Linked DNA regions of Coturnix japonica. The protein of the gene in region 1 interacts with the protein of each later gene in a pairwise test. Links are inferred from orthologs where the notes say so. Each region holds a gene or a part of one and is shown in the gene's direction. Other genes may lie near its edges.

Evidence for each region.
Region 2: the proteins of EXOC5 (region 1) and DEUP1 interact in binary tests that used the Homo sapiens proteins (3 or more experiments, as listed by UniProt). The two-hybrid records come from large-scale screens. The link is inferred for Coturnix japonica from reciprocal best matches to the Homo sapiens genes EXOC5 and DEUP1.
Region 3: the proteins of EXOC5 (region 1) and TXLNB interact in binary tests that used the Homo sapiens proteins (3 or more experiments, as listed by UniProt). The two-hybrid records come from large-scale screens. The link is inferred for Coturnix japonica from reciprocal best matches to the Homo sapiens genes EXOC5 and TXLNB.
Region 4: the proteins of EXOC5 (region 1) and RAB14 interact in binary tests that used the Homo sapiens proteins (3 or more experiments, as listed by UniProt). The two-hybrid records come from large-scale screens. The link is inferred for Coturnix japonica from reciprocal best matches to the Homo sapiens genes EXOC5 and RAB14.

The regions. Positions count from the first base shown.
Region 1 is NC_029520.1:50,519,296-50,523,842, forward strand, and holds part of EXOC5 (exocyst complex component 5), read left to right. Parts: intron 1-18; coding exon 19-128; intron 129-741; coding exon 742-786; intron 787-885; coding exon 886-1,026; intron 1,027-2,106; coding exon 2,107-2,189; intron 2,190-2,635; coding exon 2,636-2,845; intron 2,846-3,100; coding exon 3,101-3,136; intron 3,137-3,990; coding exon 3,991-4,138; intron 4,139-4,547. UniProt on the Homo sapiens protein: Component of the exocyst complex involved in the docking of exocytic vesicles with fusion sites on the plasma membrane.
Region 2 is NC_029516.1:166,289,819-166,294,365, reverse strand, and holds part of DEUP1 (deuterosome assembly protein 1), read left to right. Parts: exon of another isoform or gene 1-50; intron 51-686; coding exon 687-899; intron 900-4,547. UniProt on the Homo sapiens protein: Key structural component of the deuterosome, a structure that promotes de novo centriole amplification in multiciliated cells.
Region 3 is NC_029518.1:48,827,385-48,831,931, forward strand, and holds part of TXLNB (beta-taxilin), read left to right. Parts: intron 1-1,837; 5' UTR 1,838-1,931; intron 1,932-3,600; 5' UTR 3,601-3,614; coding exon 3,615-4,032; intron 4,033-4,547. UniProt on the Homo sapiens protein: Promotes motor nerve regeneration. May be involved in intracellular vesicle traffic.
Region 4 is NC_029532.1:6,853,225-6,857,101, reverse strand, and holds the end of RAB14 (ras-related protein Rab-14), read left to right. Parts: intron 1-623; coding exon 624-801; 3' UTR 802-2,749; downstream 2,750-3,877.

The DNA.
Region 1 (4,547 bases):
TCCTCTGTTCCCTTCCAGGTAAATACCATGACTTAGAGTGCCAGCTAATTCAGGAGTTTACCAGTGCGCAGCGGAGAGGCGAAATATCCAGAATGAGAGAAGTAGCAGCTGTCTTGCTCCATTTCAAGGTAAAAATTAGTGAATAAATAAACTAAACAAAACCCAAACCCAACAAAAATCCACCAGCTCATCCTTTAAGTGAAAATATTTGCACAGGCAAATGGTTGTTACCCATATATCTTTTAAAAATACTGAAATGTTCCATCTGAAATCAAATGTAGGTCAATAAAGGAGGCAAATGCCATCCCTGGAGGCATTTGAGGCCAGGCTGGATGTGGCTCTGAGCAGCCTGGTCTGGTGGTTGGTGACCCTGCAAGCAGAAGGGGTTTAAAATTGGATGATCATTGTGGGCCTTTTCAACCCAGGCCATTCTGTGATTCTATGGTGGGGAATCAGAGACATTGTCAATAGAGAACATTCTGAGGGGAATTTTTCTTGAATTGTGTGAGTTGTCATTCGTGCTTGAAGAGCATTAATACCTGTCATGTGCATCCACGGTGAGCTGTGATAAGTGAAGTTCTGCTAGATTTGTGACAAGAATGGACTGGAAAAAGCCTGTGCTTCAGATAAATGTATTTCTTGTGTTAATTTCTTTGCAGGAGTTTTATCTCCTTAATTTCGTTCTGTATAAAAGTCACGGAGAGCCTGGTTTTAAGACTATTTTTTTTCCTCCTTCCACAGGGCTATTCCCATTGTGTTGATGTGTACATAAAACAGTGTCAAGAGGTAATGCGTTTTATGTTTTACACGCATCTCTTTGGGTGTTGATTTCCTTATTCTATAAGTAGTTGTAAATATGCTGTGAAATTGTTTCCACAACCCTAGGGTGCGTTTCTGAGGAATGATGTGTTTGAAGATGCAGCCATTCTCTGCCAGCGAGTGAATAAGCAAGTTGGAGAAGTCTTCAGCAATCCGGAGACTGTGCTAGCCAAACTCATCCAAAACATCTTTGAAGTTAAACTTCAGGTACTTCAAATATTAGTATACTATAGTGATCAAGGAAGCTTTTCATCCATATGTGCTTGAAGTAACAGTTGCTCAGAATTTACAGGATTCATAATCCTGTATAAAGAGGTAGAATTACAGTTGATTGCCGTATAGCGTTTCATACAGATAATCAGACCCACTTCAAATGAAACTACTTGTACTGTGAATACAGCAAGAATGAAAACATTCAAATTCAGTATGTAAAATTAAAAGGGAATCAGTACGTTCATTAGCTAGTTCATGAGATGTCATACGCTTTTGGTTTCTTCTTTATGCCACCTACCCAGAATATGTCAGGAAAAGGAGTTTCACATTTAATAAACATCTTTAACCTGTTCGTAGTTGGAATTGGGTTTCATGTGTGAGGTTAGTAATGAATAAAGGTGTAATAGCCGATGCTTGGAATATTTATATGAACATTTAGAAACATTAGTTGAAAACCCCATTACCCATCCTGAAAATATACTCCCTTAAGTATGTGAAGTCAGCAGTATGCCTATTCATTGCAAAGTGCAATTTCCCAGTCAGTGTTGTTTTCCTTATTATTGATAATATGGAGCAGGGAGACTGAGTTTGTATTTCATTCCCCAATTTGACCATCAGTTTTGACTTAGTATTTTATGGTAAATAATATTTTTTGGCCAAATAGTTGATTACAGGAAGACTCTAAGCTTGTATCTGCATTATGTATGTATTGTAGTTAGCAAATATATAAGTACCTCTTTCTCTTGCTGTCAACTGTAGACCTACCCTTAGGCCTCTAGTGGTTTTGATTCTTTAAGAGTGGGGATCTTGTGTTTGGACTAGCATGTTTTCAAAGCAATCCCTCTTTGCTGTTTGCTTTACCTGCTGCTACTTTGTATTAATAAATCATTTCCTTCAAAACAATGTATTTATCTGTAGAAGACAGAAATTCTGTTGTATCAGAGACTTAAGCAATCCATACAGCCTTTGGGTTAAGGTGTGTGCTTTGAAGTAAATTATATGTATAATCTAACAAGTGAGGATGACCTGAGGTTTGATATCTATTCTTCTAACAGATATACCTAAATTTTACAGAGTTATGTGAAGGACCAACTGGAAGAACACAGGAAATCGGATGCAGAACAGTATCTTAAGAATCTTTACGATCTGTATACAAGGTATATGCATGTAGATGATAAAATTATTGTTGTAGTTATCCTCTTGGAATGAATTGATTAATCATCATCAAGATGTCGGAATATCAGACAAAAAAGTAAACTCCTCGTAAAAATGGGAAAAATTTAATGTCTGTCAAACTTTCCAATGATTAAATTTCTTTAGAAACTTTAAATAGCTGTTATCGTTTTGAATGGGAGGTATTTAACATTGTGATCTTTGAGTGTGATTTTTAAACTGGGTGAAAGCCAGTCCTTCCCTTGATGGCAATTGTGCCATATGTAATCAAACATGAATTATGCAAAGTTCTTTACTTAAGTATAAAGCTGCTAGAAGTTCTAATCATGATCTGGATTCTGTTGTACCATGTACTTTTACAAGCATATAATGCTGTAATTCATACAAATACAACCTTTTCCTCCTCTCCCCTTCTTTGTTTTGCATAAAGAACTACTAATCTTTCAAGCAAATTGATGGAATTTAACTTGGGTACCGATAAGCAGACTTTCTTGTCTAAGCTTATCAAATCCATTTTCATTTCCTACTTGGAGAATTACATTGAGGTGGAAATTGGCTATTTGAAAAGTAGGAGCGCGATGATTCTGCAACGTTATTATGATTCCAAAAACCACCAGAAGAGGTCTATTGGCACTGGAGGGTAAGTTTCTCCTATGAAGTTTCCTACTTCTGAAGTGGAAGGGAGGTGGTAAAGGGAGAAATGTTGTGTTTTTCGTGCCAAATGTACAGTGATGGACTGCAAAAGAGCAGACTTCTAAAGTGACCTACAGCTTTTTATAATTTGCTATCATTTCCTGTTAACTTTCTCTGAAATCTTACATGTGAAGGGTGATGCATGGTGCTTATATACTCATGGAAAATGAAAAATACCAGTTAAACTTATGTTTCAACTTAGGATCCAGACCCACAAAAGGACTGAAGCAAAATTAAGGTACCGAACGCATGTATATGTGTGTATCTAAAAGCATACATTTTTTTTCACCTGCCCAGGTCTTGTGGTCCCCTCCCAAGACCTAGGAAGGGGAAAAGACCATAGCAATGTCAGTGAAAAAGCTCTTAGTGAGCCCAGAAGATGCAATGGACTTAGAGAAAGGTAAAACAAGACTTCATTATCCTCAGGGTAGAGACACTATAAAGGAGTAGGGAGACGTGGGAAAGGAAGAAAGAAAACTTGTGTGAGGAAAAGGTGATGAGACTGTTACACCTCTCAGAGTTACTGGGTTCGGTGTGTCAGGCATGAAGAGTGATTTGGAGAAAACAACAACAACTATAGCAAAGTCATGAGATGAATAAAAGCAAAGATAAAAATTTAATTTTCTTGGGGAAAATTAAATTGATTGCAATGACTGTCCCTATGGGTTGCTTTATGCATGGAAATGTGTCGGAGCATGCTTGAATAAGTCATGACTGCACAGATAGGGATGAGGATGAAAGGATTTGTGGCTGTGGATGAGAGAGGAAGACCTCAGTGTTTTGAAAGTAAAATGTGACAACGTATGGAGGCTGAACTTTGTCCACAGAGCACACGCCCCAGAGGGGGAACAGGTGTTCCCATGGTATGAATGTGCCATGGTAGGACACAGCTGAATGTGGGATCAGAGGTGGTTGTTTTGCATTTACTAGCAATTTTTTTTTAAGCTGTCTTAACTGTCTTAACGCTTGCATATCCTAAACTGTGTCTTGGGTTCTGTTTTTGTAAGTTAACAACCGAAATATTGTAAGATATTGTTGAATGTGATCTTCAGAATTTCCACCCAGCAAAACCTTTTGGTGTCTCTGTTTTAGTATTCAAGACCTCAAGGAAAGAATAAGGCAACGTACAAACTTGCCATTGGGGCCAAGCATTGACACCCATGGAGAAACTTTTCTCTCGCAAGAAGTGGTGGTTAACCTTTTGCAAGAAACCAAACAAGCTTTTGAGAGATGTCACAGAGTAAGTTCGCTTCCTGCTGTCTCTATTAGAGACAACATTTTGTGTATACAATCAAATCTTGAGGTTCAGTTTGGTTGGAAGAAAGGAAGAACTTCAGTGTATTAAAAAACTCTTCTGTTTCTAGCTGAATGAGGGTCATGTTGGGCTCTTCTGTATGAATGTGGATTTCATTTTATCTGTCTGTTTCTGGGAGAAGTAGGTAGGATTAAACCTACTTGGTAACATTGGTGGTTTCTGTTTTGGTGTTGGTTTTTTTTTCCTTTCTAAATAAACCAGACCCAAGAACTGAGAAGAGTTCACTACTTTCCCCCCCTTCGCCTCCAGCCCCCTATTTTATGACTACAGAGTTCTTTCCTTGTGTCAAGTGCCATTTCTTCAATCATCATAGAGTATTACTAATAAAGAACTG
Region 2 (4,547 bases), on another chromosome or scaffold:
CGTAGTGATTGTGGTTCTTCACACTGCCTGTGAATTCACAAATACCACCGGTACCTATTTTCTGAAGTTTTCTTTTTAGAGTTATTTAATGAGTACAAGAAACTGAAGAAACTGAATGAAGTACAAGACTGTTTCCAGAGATGCTGAATGTGCAAATGATTTTCCCACAAGATTAATAATAATGATACAAAAAAATAAAAAATACAGTTACTGCAGTAACTGAGCTACAAGCAGTGTACTACTCACCTTTTAGTCAAAGGTTAATTCCAGTCCTGAGGTGAACACACGCATCTCCTACTGAGTTCATTATTTCAAAGAGAAATGTTTCTCTCAAATCATTTTTTATAGGTAACTGCTTTGAGTAGGTCATCATAATCACCTTTTCACTTGTGAGGCTAATTAATCTCAAAGTGCCAGGGAAATACACAACAGAGAAAAATTCTGTACCCTTGTAAGTTTTAGAAATGTTATTCTCACTGTGCATGATGAACTTGAAGCTAAGGAAAGGAAATATTCTTCAGAATAGTGATACAAACCTTTCCAAAAGTGCCATCTTTTCTAAGCAAGTTCTGATGGATAAAATGGGAATTAGCTTAGTCATTTCAGTAGCAACTGTTCAACTGTTTGGCCCTAAAAATTTAGATGTAATTATTGAATTTCATTAAAAATATTTTATTGTTTTGTAGAAGCAAACCTGGAGTAGTCAATTCCAGATAAGCGATAAGAAACAAAACCAGGAAGAGATTGTTAAATATGGCCAGACTGAAAGAGAAATGGATGGGTTAATTGTTGAAAAGCTAAGGGCAGCAGTGAATGAAATGACAATAAGCAGGAATAGACTAGAAGAGGAAAATCTGAAACTCCATGAGGATCTAAAAATGTTCCAAAACCAGTTCCAGGTAATGATATATTTCGTTTTCCATGAATGCTGTGGAATAAATTTTGGAGCATTAATTTAATACGACTATACTTTAAAAAGTAGTTCTAAGATGCCTATATACAAGATCTGTGCAGTTACTGTGTGGATATTCTTTGCAGAAGCATGGAATGAGCTGTGAACAGTCAAATTTTTGAGTAAGACTTGAAAAACATTTTATATTCAGTAGTTATATCTTTTTCTGTCTATTTACCTAGATTTTTATAACTTTCCTCTTCCTGTAGCACCACAGAGTGAGTTATCTTAATTCACTTGGCTCCTTGTATAAAAACTATTTGTATTGAATGTCTTTATCTGCTTTACATCTTGTTGCATGAAGTGCCCTTTACATACTAAATAAGTAGATATAAAAGTGTGTGGTATGGTTTATTGTTCTATGAATATTCTTCAGTGCAATGAATGTCTAGGCTGGCAGCATTGACGCAAAAGATTTTATCCTATCTCTAGCTTACCATTTTTCAACTGCTTTATGAAAACAGCTGTTGGGGCCTCTTCCTTTGTTCATAATCTATGGATTCTTACAAGACTGAGATATCATAGAATCACAGAATGTCTTGATTTGGAAGGGACTCCAGAGATCATCGAGTTCCAACCCCCTGCCACATGCAGGGTTGACAACAACTAGATCAAGTACTGGATCAGATTGCCCAGGGCCAGCCTGTCCATAAACACCTCCAAGGATGGAGCATTCATAACCTTTCTGGGAAACCTGTTCCAGCTCCTCAGCACTCTCTCAGTAAAAATTTTCCTCCTGACATCTAACCTAAATCTCCCCTCCTTTAGTTTAAAACCATTCCACCTCATCCTGTCACAATCTGTTCTTGTAAAAAGCTGTTTTCCCTGATGATTATAAACTCCCTTCAAATACAGCAAGGCCGCAATGAGTCATCCCACAGCCTTCTCTTTTCCAGGCTGAACAAGGCCAGTTCATTCAGCCTATCCTTGTAGGGGAGGTGCTCCAGTCCTTGGAATATCTTTGTAGCCCTCCTCTAGACCCTCTCCAAAAGTTCCATATCTTTCCTGTTTTTGGGGCTCCAGACTCAGATGCAGTACTCCAGCTGGGGCCTCACAAGGGCAAGAGTAGAGGGGGACAGTCACTTCCCTTGCCCTGCTAGCCATTCGTCTTCTGATGGAACACAGGATATCACTGACTTTATAGGATACAGGTGCACACTGCTCTTTCAGGTTGTTTTTCCTCAACCAGGACCCCCAAGTCCTTCTCAGTAGGCCTGCTCTCAAGGAGCTTTTCTCACAGTTTGTGTACTGTAATCTAATCTGGGATTACTTGAACCCAGGTGCAAAACATTTGCTTTGTTGAACCTCACTAGGTTCACAAAGTCCCAATTTCTTGAGATTATTTTAGTCCCTCTCAGTGGCATCCCTTCCTTCTGCTATATGAACTGCATCACTCAGCTTGGTGTGACCAGCAAACTTGCTGAGGGTGCACTACATCCCATCATCTGCATCAGTGATAAATATGTTAAAGAGTACCAGACTCAAGACAGTCCTTTGGGGAACGCTTCTCATTACTACCCTCTACCTGGACGGAGAGCCATTGAACACCACCCTTTGGCTGCGACCTTCCAAACAGCTCCCTGTCCACCAAATAGTCTGCCCTTCAAATCCGTATCTCTCCAATTTAGAGAGAAGGATGTAGTGGGAGACCATGTCAAAGGCCTTGCAGAAGTCCAGGTAGATGACGTTGGTCACCATCCCTTTGTTCATCATTGCCATCACTCCACCATAGAAGATTGCAGATTGATCTGGGATGACCTTCCCTTGGTGCAATCATGTTGGCTGTCTCAGGTCACCTGCTTGTCCCTTGTGTGCCTTAACATGTCTTCCAGGAGAATTTGTTCATGGTCTTCCCAGGCTTCCCAGAGGTGAAGTTCACCAGCCTGTAGTTCCTCAGGTCCTCCTTCCTGCCTTCCTTGTAAATGGGAGTGATATTTCTCTTTTTCCAGTTCCCAGGGACTTTATCTGACCGCTATGGTTCTTCAAATATAATGGAGAGCTTCACAGCAACCACATCAGCCAGCTCTCTCGGGACCCTGGGATGCATGTTGTCTGGCTCTATGAACTTATACATGTTCAGTCTCATGAGCTGGTCTTGGACTTGCTCCACCAGTGCAGTGCAGGGGAGTTTGCTTCTTCAGTGGGGAGTTTTCTGCCTCATATCTTCAGCTTTTTTATTAGCAAAGACTGAAACAGATCAAGAATAAGATTTTCATTTCCTTTTTTCTCCAGTAAGATGATTTTGCTTATTAATTTAAGCACTTCAATATTCAGGAATATATTGACTGGCCTGTAGTGACTTAATCTGGAGAAAGATCACCTATTTTTCTTAACTTCATTTAACTTTAGTTACAATGTACTTCACGGTAATTAAGGTATATGGTGGAGATTTATTTCAGGTATTGCCAGGACAACCAAATCCTGTGTATGTGATGTTTATACATTTGATTTGCACATTAGTTCCCTAAGTCACTAGACTGCATGCAGGTTTATCAGTCTGCAAGCGAAAAGACCTGCTTTTGGGGATGTGAAAAGGTTGCCACAAATAGTAGTTGGATTAGAATATATTTGGAACAGGGGGAGTAAGTGTTGTAGAACGCAGGGAGAGTAGATGGCAGCATGCTGTAGCCTTGTCTAAGAAAATCTTCAAGCTAGAGGAAGTATTTTTGGGGGATATCCATATGAGAAAGCAGGAAGTGCAGGGTCTGTCATCAGCCAGAAGGAGTAGGCAGGTGAGCATATGAGTGCTGTATGGAGCACTAGGTTAGTTGGACGTGGGTTGGGTGAAGGGAGGAGCAGGAGATGGGAGTCTTGCTGGGGACAAGTTTGATTTCCATGGCAATTAGCATGGTATTACGTCACACACATCTTGTACGCCGTGACTACTTTGTGTATGCTTCCACCTGTTTCTGTCATACTACTGGTTAGAAAGAAAAGCGAACTGTATGGAAGGTGGATTTGTTGGCTGTGAAGCAAATATGAATTTAAGAAGATCCAAACTGAGACCCAAGAGTATTTCTCAATCTCATGAACTGTTTGGCAAACTTAGTTGCAAACATACACGAGATGCATGAAACCATTGACCTGAAGTTCTTTTTCAAGCATAATTGCTGCTACTGCTGTGGCTGCTGTTACTCCTGGCATTACTACATTCCACAGAAGGAAATATAATTTCTGTAAACGTGCATGGTGAGTGCAGTGCGCCACAGGTGATCTGACTTCCACCACAAAACTGTGAAGTGTTCCCCTTTTCCACTGCATAATCAAATCAGAGGTGTACACACACACACCTCAAATTAACATATTATGTTCTAGTTGTGGCTATCTCTTGAATGTTGAAGTCATTAAGATGATTGTAAGTAAGTTCTGCTGACAATTTTAAAAATTCATTAAACTTTAGTTCACTAGAATATGCCCAGACTTGCATTTCCAAGTTCAAAAAGCTCTTTCAGGCTTAATTTAACACAGGATTTGATGAATGAATCTGTATATACAGACCCCATAAAAAAAACCAAAAGTGCTTCATGTCTGTTTTTGGCAGTTCTTTCAGCCAGAGGAAAACCCCAGGCTTCTTGGAAGGAAGGTCATTCTAATG
Region 3 (4,547 bases), on another chromosome or scaffold:
TGAAGACAGTGATAGCTGTAGGAGTCACAGAAGTCAAGAGGCAGAGTCAAAAAGCAGGCTCTGTCTCCTTTGCCTCAGTCTGTTGGAAATTAAGGGGCTGAGGAACTTCTCTTCTGGGATCAGCCACCTAATTTTTAGACATTACTGTGTCTGAGACAGCAGTAATGTAAATACTTGGGATTTTGTTGGATTGGCATTGTAAGTCTTTTATGGCCAGATAAGACAGAACTCCTGATGCATATCAAGGTTAAACAAGTTGGAGCAAGAGCAGGACTGGGAATTACTGCAGTAAAATTTCCCGTCGCCAAAGGCTGTTTTCAGAAGATGAGAGCTGCTCTGTCTTCCTGAATATAAACTCTCTCACACTGTGGAATCCATTACACAAAACAAGGTGCTAAGTCTTAACAGACATTGTGTTTGTGCTGAAAGCAGTTATCAGATCTCTGATTTAGCCTAAAGGAGAATGAAAGAAAATGCTAAAATGTTTGCTTGCCTGTGTAAACACAATCCTCAGTATGATATAGTAAGTGACAACTCTGGAGTCACTGGTTATTTCTATAGTTCCTATTTGCTTACCATTTCAGGCTGATAGCCTTAACCTCAGCACATGTGAATTGCTGTGGTTTCAGAAACTTATAACTAATCCCCTTCTAGTCAGGAATGATATAGATCATATCAGTGAAGATTTCCTGTGAGGTCAACTTTTGTTTTGTTTGTTTTCAAAACATTCAGTTTCTCTTCAGTTCACCCACGTGTTTCACTTCTAACTGAGAAACACTGTTTATAACTCAATCATTGCTGCTGATTTAGAACCTACTGTGTTTGTAGGCAGTCTTAGTGATTCACTTAGGAGAAGAACCTTAGCCAGACAGTGATGCTTCATGAGTGATGCTGTTAAGACTTGGAAGAGAGCCATGAGCCAGCATGATGACATGGCTGACGGAAGTAGGGACTTCACCGCAAGGAGCCATGATATGGGTTAGGGTCAGGGCTGGGTATGTGGGGAGTTCAGAGATAGATACAGATTGCAAACCCACCAGCACTTTCGCAGTGATAGGGCAGGTCCATAGGCAAGCAGGGATGCCCTACTGATGCATTCAGGTCTGGGACAAAGCGAATAGAGGCTGAAGATGCGCATAGGTGCGTCTGGGACCTTGCTGTGATCGAGGGGGCTACTGGTATGCCCACAGCTGAAAAGCAGCTCCCAAGGGAAAGCAGGGCCAGGTTCTGGCTTCCAGTGCTCTTCACAAGAGCTCTTAGTGGAGAAGAACTGACATAGGACACAGCCATCCCACTTCATGTCTTCAACAAGACTTCAGGGGTTCACTACGAGTCCTGATAGAAGGAGCATCAACATGTGCCTTCTTACAGAGAAGGGGAGGTAGGAAGAAGAGAAACTCGTGTTTGAGAGTGAAGCATTTGTGATCTGATTATCCTTCTGTGTTGAACATATTACAAAACAACATGGCTTAAATTGGGGATATATTTCACAACATTTTTTTCCTATCTAAACAAGAGCTGATGATCCTGGATTTTCTAGCTGATTGATTGCCAATTGCCAATTACCTCAAATTAATGAATACAATTGTAAATACTAGCCTGAACATGTCAGAAACAAAAACATATTTTGCAGAGCTTCTAGCTTAGCATTTGCAGTAATATTACTGAAGTGGTATTAATTGGCTGTCAATTAATGCTAGTCAAAACAAGATCACAAACGTCTGCCTAACCTGAAATTGCTTACCTAAATTGTACATGTAAGGCCTAATCTTTCAAGATAAACTGAAGTCAGTAGGACACCAAATCTGACCAATATAAGTTTACCATCACTTTTCAGACTGTGCCAAATGTAGAAAGGAAAGAATCAGATGCATCTGCCTGATGGGGTCCATGAGACTGCATCCAGCTGTCTTTCCAAGTCATTGCTGTTGGTGAGTTGTGTTTGGAGGGGGCCATGGTTCTGTAGATACCAGCTTTTAGGCACATCTTGAGCCACACTCAAAGCTTTCAAATATAGTCTTACAGTGAATTGCTTTAGAGATGATGAAACATAATATTTGAGTACCATATCCATAAGTCTGATCAGATATCTCACCAATCAAATCTTGAAAAGTATTAGCCTTAGTAGTGACAGTTACTGCAGTACTGAGAACCACTTTGACTGGGGAGATTTTAACAACAAACACCATGTCATGTATAACAATGAACTACAACTCTGTTATCACACACTGCCTTTGGCCAAGTTTGTTTATGTCTCTGAAAGCTGCAGAAGCTTAGACACCATAGCAAATATATGTTACAGCCAACTGAACAGGAAACAAAATGCTTCTCATTTAGCTCCATATTTTCAAAACAAGTTGTCTTTTCAAAAATAAGAAAGCAGCTTCCTTAGATCTGACAAAGCAATATCCTTCCTGTTCCTTGTCCCCACTAAGTACCTGGCTGACATTATTATGAATCATATAATTACAAGAAGGAATGTTGAAACACATCATCCACCACCTCACTGCTCAGCATTCAGCAAGTGTCGATGAATGTGCCAATTCCACATGTTTGCTTCATCTGTACTTTATCAAAAGAAAAAGCACTGCGTATTTTTCTCTGTTCACAGGACTGTGTCTAGCCAACGTATCAAAATCCATCAACGTATCTGCCAGCACTGTGAGCTGGCACTGCCCTGTGCCTCCATGGGGCTGATAGCACTCCCATGTTTGGTTGGTGCTGAGGGGCCGGGCTGCTGCCATGATGGCATGGGGCAGGGGGAGGCCACAGTGCCAGCTGTGCCGGGCTGCATGCAGCCTGTGGGCTGTGGGTTGGATGTGTCTGGAAAAATGCAAAGTCTCCACTGCAAGTTGGGGAGCCAATTATGCAACATTCAAACCAGATACTAGCATTGAATATCAATTTGTGTTACACCTGGTTGATTTTACAATGCTCTGATTTATTCAGCGCTTTGTACTTTATCAAACAAGCTGTCAGCAGTGCACTGCAAGTACAAGAGAAAGGTGGTTTGTAGTTGTTTATCTTATTATGAACTGTTTGTTGCTGTTACTATGTCACTGCCAGGCAAGGCCATTCACATATCAAGCATCATGCTGGGCACTCCAAGAGCATAATTCTCAGTTCTCTAGCTTCTTCTAAAAACTTCATTTTCCTTATTATTGACTTAAGATGTGCTGATGGGTGAGAAACAGGAAGTGAAAGTGATGCAAATCTGAAGCAAAGCTGCCTGTGTCAATAGCCAGTATTGCAGGTGAAACTAATCAAGAAAAACAAGCAAGTGGCAAATTGTGTTCAGAGAAGGAAGTAGTATGGATGGCTCTGGTGCCCTTTTGTGCTTTATCACTTGCAACAGTAACAAGAGGTCAAGCTTTGTCAGTGTTATCTTCCTCTTGGCAGATGTACAATTCACTTTTCTCCCAACAGGTAAATCACCTCGTTGGTTTGTTTCAGTGTGTTGTATTCATCAAGCCAAAGTGAAAGGATGACCTGCCACACCAAATCCCACACCAGATCACTCACATCCTGGCCAAGCCTTGTGATCACTGAGAAAACTGATTTCTCTGCTTTTAAATTAACTCTATGTTGTTTTGCTGTCAGGTACTGCACCAAGCATGGAGAATGACCAGTTCACCGAGAAGCAGCAGCAGGTTTCCACTTCACCTAGGCAAGACATTCAGGGACAAAGCAAGGAGGAACCTGTCCCCAGCTCACAGCCCCTGCCCCCCACAGACCAAACCAGTGCCCAGACTGAAGCAGCCACATGTGACATCTCAGAGGAGCTGAGCCGGCAACTGGAGGACATTATTAAAACCTATGGGTCTGCAGCAAGTCTGATGGAGAAGGATGGCACTACAGCAGGAACTGACAAGCTGGAGAAGGGAGATGTGGGCAATATGGAGGATGCAGAGTATGAGGATGCAAATGAAGAAAGTGAGAAAGACAAACCAGCCCCTGGAGATGCTTCAAGAGCAAAGGAGCCCAGCACTAGCAAGGAACAAAAGCTGGAGAAGAAAATCCTGAAAGGACTAGGCAAGTGCTTGTGTACTTACATAGCTATTCTGCTAACAGTAGTAAAACCTCCCTGGGCTTCACTTTTTCCTTTTTTAAGTCTTTGCTATGGCTGATAGGGACCACTGAAAACCACGGCAGCTGTCATAACTTTATTTGATAAAAATTGTCAGCAGTTACCTAAAAGATACAGTGGGCTTTATCAGACATTAATCCTTGTACAGGGATGAAAGCTCAGGATTTTATCACATGGCTGGTAGATTAATGGTCCACCCAAACTAGTGGCCAAAGCTGTGAGTTTGAAGAAACACTGAAGAATACTTTTTCTTAGACAAAGGGACACCTGATCTCTTGTTTATGCCCCTGTACATCTATTTTCCTACTCCCTCAGTTATGATTTCTCAATGGTCATAGCTGTGCCAGTGGTGTTACTACATGGAGTGGCCGAGAGGGAAACTGCAAAACAAATTCACTGCTATGATCTCATTATATTTCATTCAGCAGACTCATCACAGACTGCAATAAATCATTAAGTT
Region 4 (3,877 bases), on another chromosome or scaffold:
GAGCTTGTTTCAGCCTCAGATGGGTGTGCACATGTAGTTGATGGTGGTTCCCAAGAGCATGACTTCCCCCAGGTACTTCCCTCAGATGTTTCGAGCTCTAAGCAAGCTCTGTAGGGATAGAGCTCTGTAGGGAGCGCTCAGTTCCTGACCTCACAAAGGAGCTGCCATGCAGTGCTCCTGGTTGGCTCTGTTGGTTGGAGAGCCTGACAGAATGCAAATGATCCGATCTCCTGCTGCAAAATATTCCAGCTGGCACCTGTTCTAACAGACCTTCCTAACAACAGGAGTTTGACCAGCAATAGCTCCGCTGTCTTTTGGCCTTTCAGAATTGTTCTGGACACGTAGCTCAGTGCTGTAGTTTATTTCTGATGTTCAGTGTTCTGATACAGAGCGGTGTTCAGGGCTGCTCCTAATGGATGTAACAGCTGGAGACAGGTACCATATCAGAAACTGTCCTGCAGATGGGCTGTTAGGGGCTGTTATGCCTCATGGTGTGTCTGCTTTTAAATACTACCAGTTCTGTTGCTTGAGACAAGCAGTGAGGACATCCAGCCAACTGCCTGTACATCCTGTGTTTCTGTGCTGAAGTGTAACCTAATTAACTCCTGCTGCTCTTCTTGTAGTGGAGAGAATGTTGAGGATGCTTTCCTGGAGGCTGCCAAGAAAATCTACCAGAACATCCAAGATGGAAGCCTGGATCTGAACGCTGCAGAGTCGGGTGTACAGCACAAACCATCAGCTCCGCAGGGGGGGCGGCTAACCAGCGAACCCCAGCCCCAGAGAGAAGGCTGCGGCTGCTAGTGACCCCTTCCATGGCTTCATTTCTGACCTTTCACCTCTGTCTGTTGGGAGCAGTGCTTTTGATTGCTTCCCTGTCTTCTGTACATCTTATTGGGTTTAATTAAAACTGAAACAAGTTTAACACAGTACTAAACTGCTAAACAACTTTAGATGTAATCAGGTTATCCAAGGCAAGTAGAGTAATAAAACCTCTCCTGCATGGTGAATCTAGAATTTTTTTTTTTTTCCTTGATTGTCCTTGTGATAGTGTCACAGATACATAATTTAAACTGAGCACTGATGCTGGACTCATGATTTTACACTTTTGCAGGGCTTTGTCTTGTACGGTTTAATTTGATGGTTCTTCAGCCTTTCTTCCCCACCTCTTAACTGTGTAGAGCTGTCCATAGGAAAGGATAAGTTTTTGGGTTCTTTTTTTCTCTTTTTGCTGTGAAATGACTTCTGATGGTAGAGAGGGGCTCCGTACCAATGTGCTTTGTTGAAAGGATTCCCCATGGTTGTGCATGTTGGGGGCAGGGGGGCTGGTGCAGGAGGGTACAACTTGCACAGGGAAACGAACCATTCCTTCTTGTGCTCATAGCTTTACATCATTTTTTGCCACTTTTATCCATTTGCTAACAGAACGTAAATATGTATAAAATTTGAAGGAACTGAGCTAACAGTTAAATACATCCTGTGTATATGATTTTAATGAAGAAAATGATTACTGGCATTAGAACAGTATATAAGAAAATATCAGTTTGTACAGTATGACCTGTATGTGACCACACCGCCCATCAGTACAGACGTAGGTGTAACTGCAGTTCACTAACAGCAGCTTAACTCCTTGGTGTTGACAGTGGACATTGTGCTGGGGGAACTCGAATCCCAGTGCCGAAATTAACACTAGTGGAATCTGTCCTTCATCTTTGCACTGTGGTATCTCTATGCCATGTTATTAATCCTGTTCTGTGCAATCAGCAGTGTGCTAACCTGCTTTTTTCTTCTGTAAGCATTTCACATTACTGGGCTTCGTTACCTGCCTTGCTCTGTATACCAAGGCTGGTTCTCTTGCACATCTTATGCTTTTATACCTTTAACCTTTTGAATGGTCAGATACTGAACTGGACAGTCGGAACAACTTGTGTTCCCTGGGGAGTCGTAGCTACTGTTGTATTTTAACACTACAGCTGAGGGCTTCTAGGGCAGGTTTGTTCTTGAAGGGTGCCACCTTCCTGAGAGGGCACACGTACTGCTTCTGTAAAGGGGAGACAGTAAACCCACAGTATACAGCCTACGTGTGGGGTTTATTGTGGTGTCAGGACTAGGATGTGTCACTGTATGCAGAACTGTATGTCACTTATAGCTTCATTTATGAATACACTGAATACAGTTTCCAAAAGGAAAGGGTAAGTGTTTAACCACACTCAGCTGTCCGACTTCTAATCTTACTGCAGTGCTTAAGATACAAAGTAGTCTGAAATTCCTTCTCCAGACACTAAAACTATGAACTGTTCAGATGTGTAAGTCAACAGTGGTACCAGAGTATTGTACAGTCAATGTTAAATAAAAGCCAAAAAAAAAAAAACTGGAATGTGCAGACAATAGGATTTGGGTAACTTGTTTGTGCGCTGTCCCTTTGTTCTGTCTGGTTAGTTTTTTTTAACTAGTATTCTTTAGTAGATGGGTATGTTTGAGCTCTACAGCTGATGTGTCCTGCTTAAACCAAGGTTGTACCACAGCGGGGTTTGCCCAGGGACCAGGACCTGCTGCTGCCATGAAGTTTGGAAGTAAATGTTCTAATGACTACAGCTTGTTGAGGTGCAATACCTGTATTCCCAGAGTAAGTTACAGTAGGCCTTATTGTTTCTGTCACAGAAAGGATTTGTTTGGACTGCTGTACTCCTCATTTGATGTAACAATGCTATTAATCTAAATATTTGTAAATAAAGTACCTGTATCTAGATAACCTGCAGTGCCTTGTGTTTCTTGCTCTACTTGTGCTGTGACTTCTCTGCTTCTGTGACTTACAGCTGCAGCTCTTCACTCCCACCTTTCTAGGCTATCTTCCACCTACTGCATTGCACTGCCTTGCAAATGCTGCTTTGTAGGCACTTCTGCTTGCCTGCAGTCAGGCTTTGAGTGCTGGGAAAAGCTGTAGAAGAGAGAAGCTTAGAAGGGAATCTTGCATGTGGTGGCAGTTGAGCTTTAACTGATTGTGTTAACTTCTGAAAAGGGCCCTAGGGTAAAAAAATGTGACAGGCTGCTGTTGCTTTTCCACTGCCCTGAAGCCTTCCTAAGGCTGTAACAGGCTGCATGAAGTGGGGAGCATGAACATTGCTGTCTGTCAGTGGTGGTGATGATAATGTAGATGAGAGGGCAAGGCTGGGGACTGTTCTGAAACCTGCCTCCAGCAAAAGCAGCTCTAGAAAGTCCTTGTGTCCCACCTGGCAGGAGGGGTAAGGATGTACTTAGAGACAAGCCTGCTTTGCATGGTGGAAGAATGTCCCCTTTCCTTCTGCCTTCCTGCTGCTCTTCATTTACCGAGCACTGCTTTGTTTGCAATCTTGTTGCAAAGGCCATACTCGCATGTATCAGAAATAATGATACAGGTTGGGCTTCAGAGACAGTGCAGCAATGCTTACCAACAGCAACCAGTAATTGCTATGGTGTGGATATCAGTGTAACAAATGGTACTGTACACAAAGAGTTGTTGCCACTATTAAGATGGCACTGTTAAAGAGCTAGCAGTGCAAGGCCATTACAGGATGCATATTAAAAACAAAGTAAGGATGAAGTTGTGGTCACAACTTTAAGAAAGTATTCAAAAATAGTTTTATTTAACATCTGTGCATTTAAAAACGTGACAACTCTTGAAAATGTAAACTGAGAAATAGCCACACTTCAATGACAGCAGTAGTTTTAAAGACCCTTAAATCAGTATTTCTTAAAAATAACATCTCTACACAGAGCTCCCTTACTGAGTCCTACAGAGATTTCACAGTACACAGCCATTGGCTATTGCTGCTAAATACCTTTTAGCAAAGGCCTGCAGAACACTGAGGTAGAAGGCTTCAGGAGTGGAAGACGATGGCAC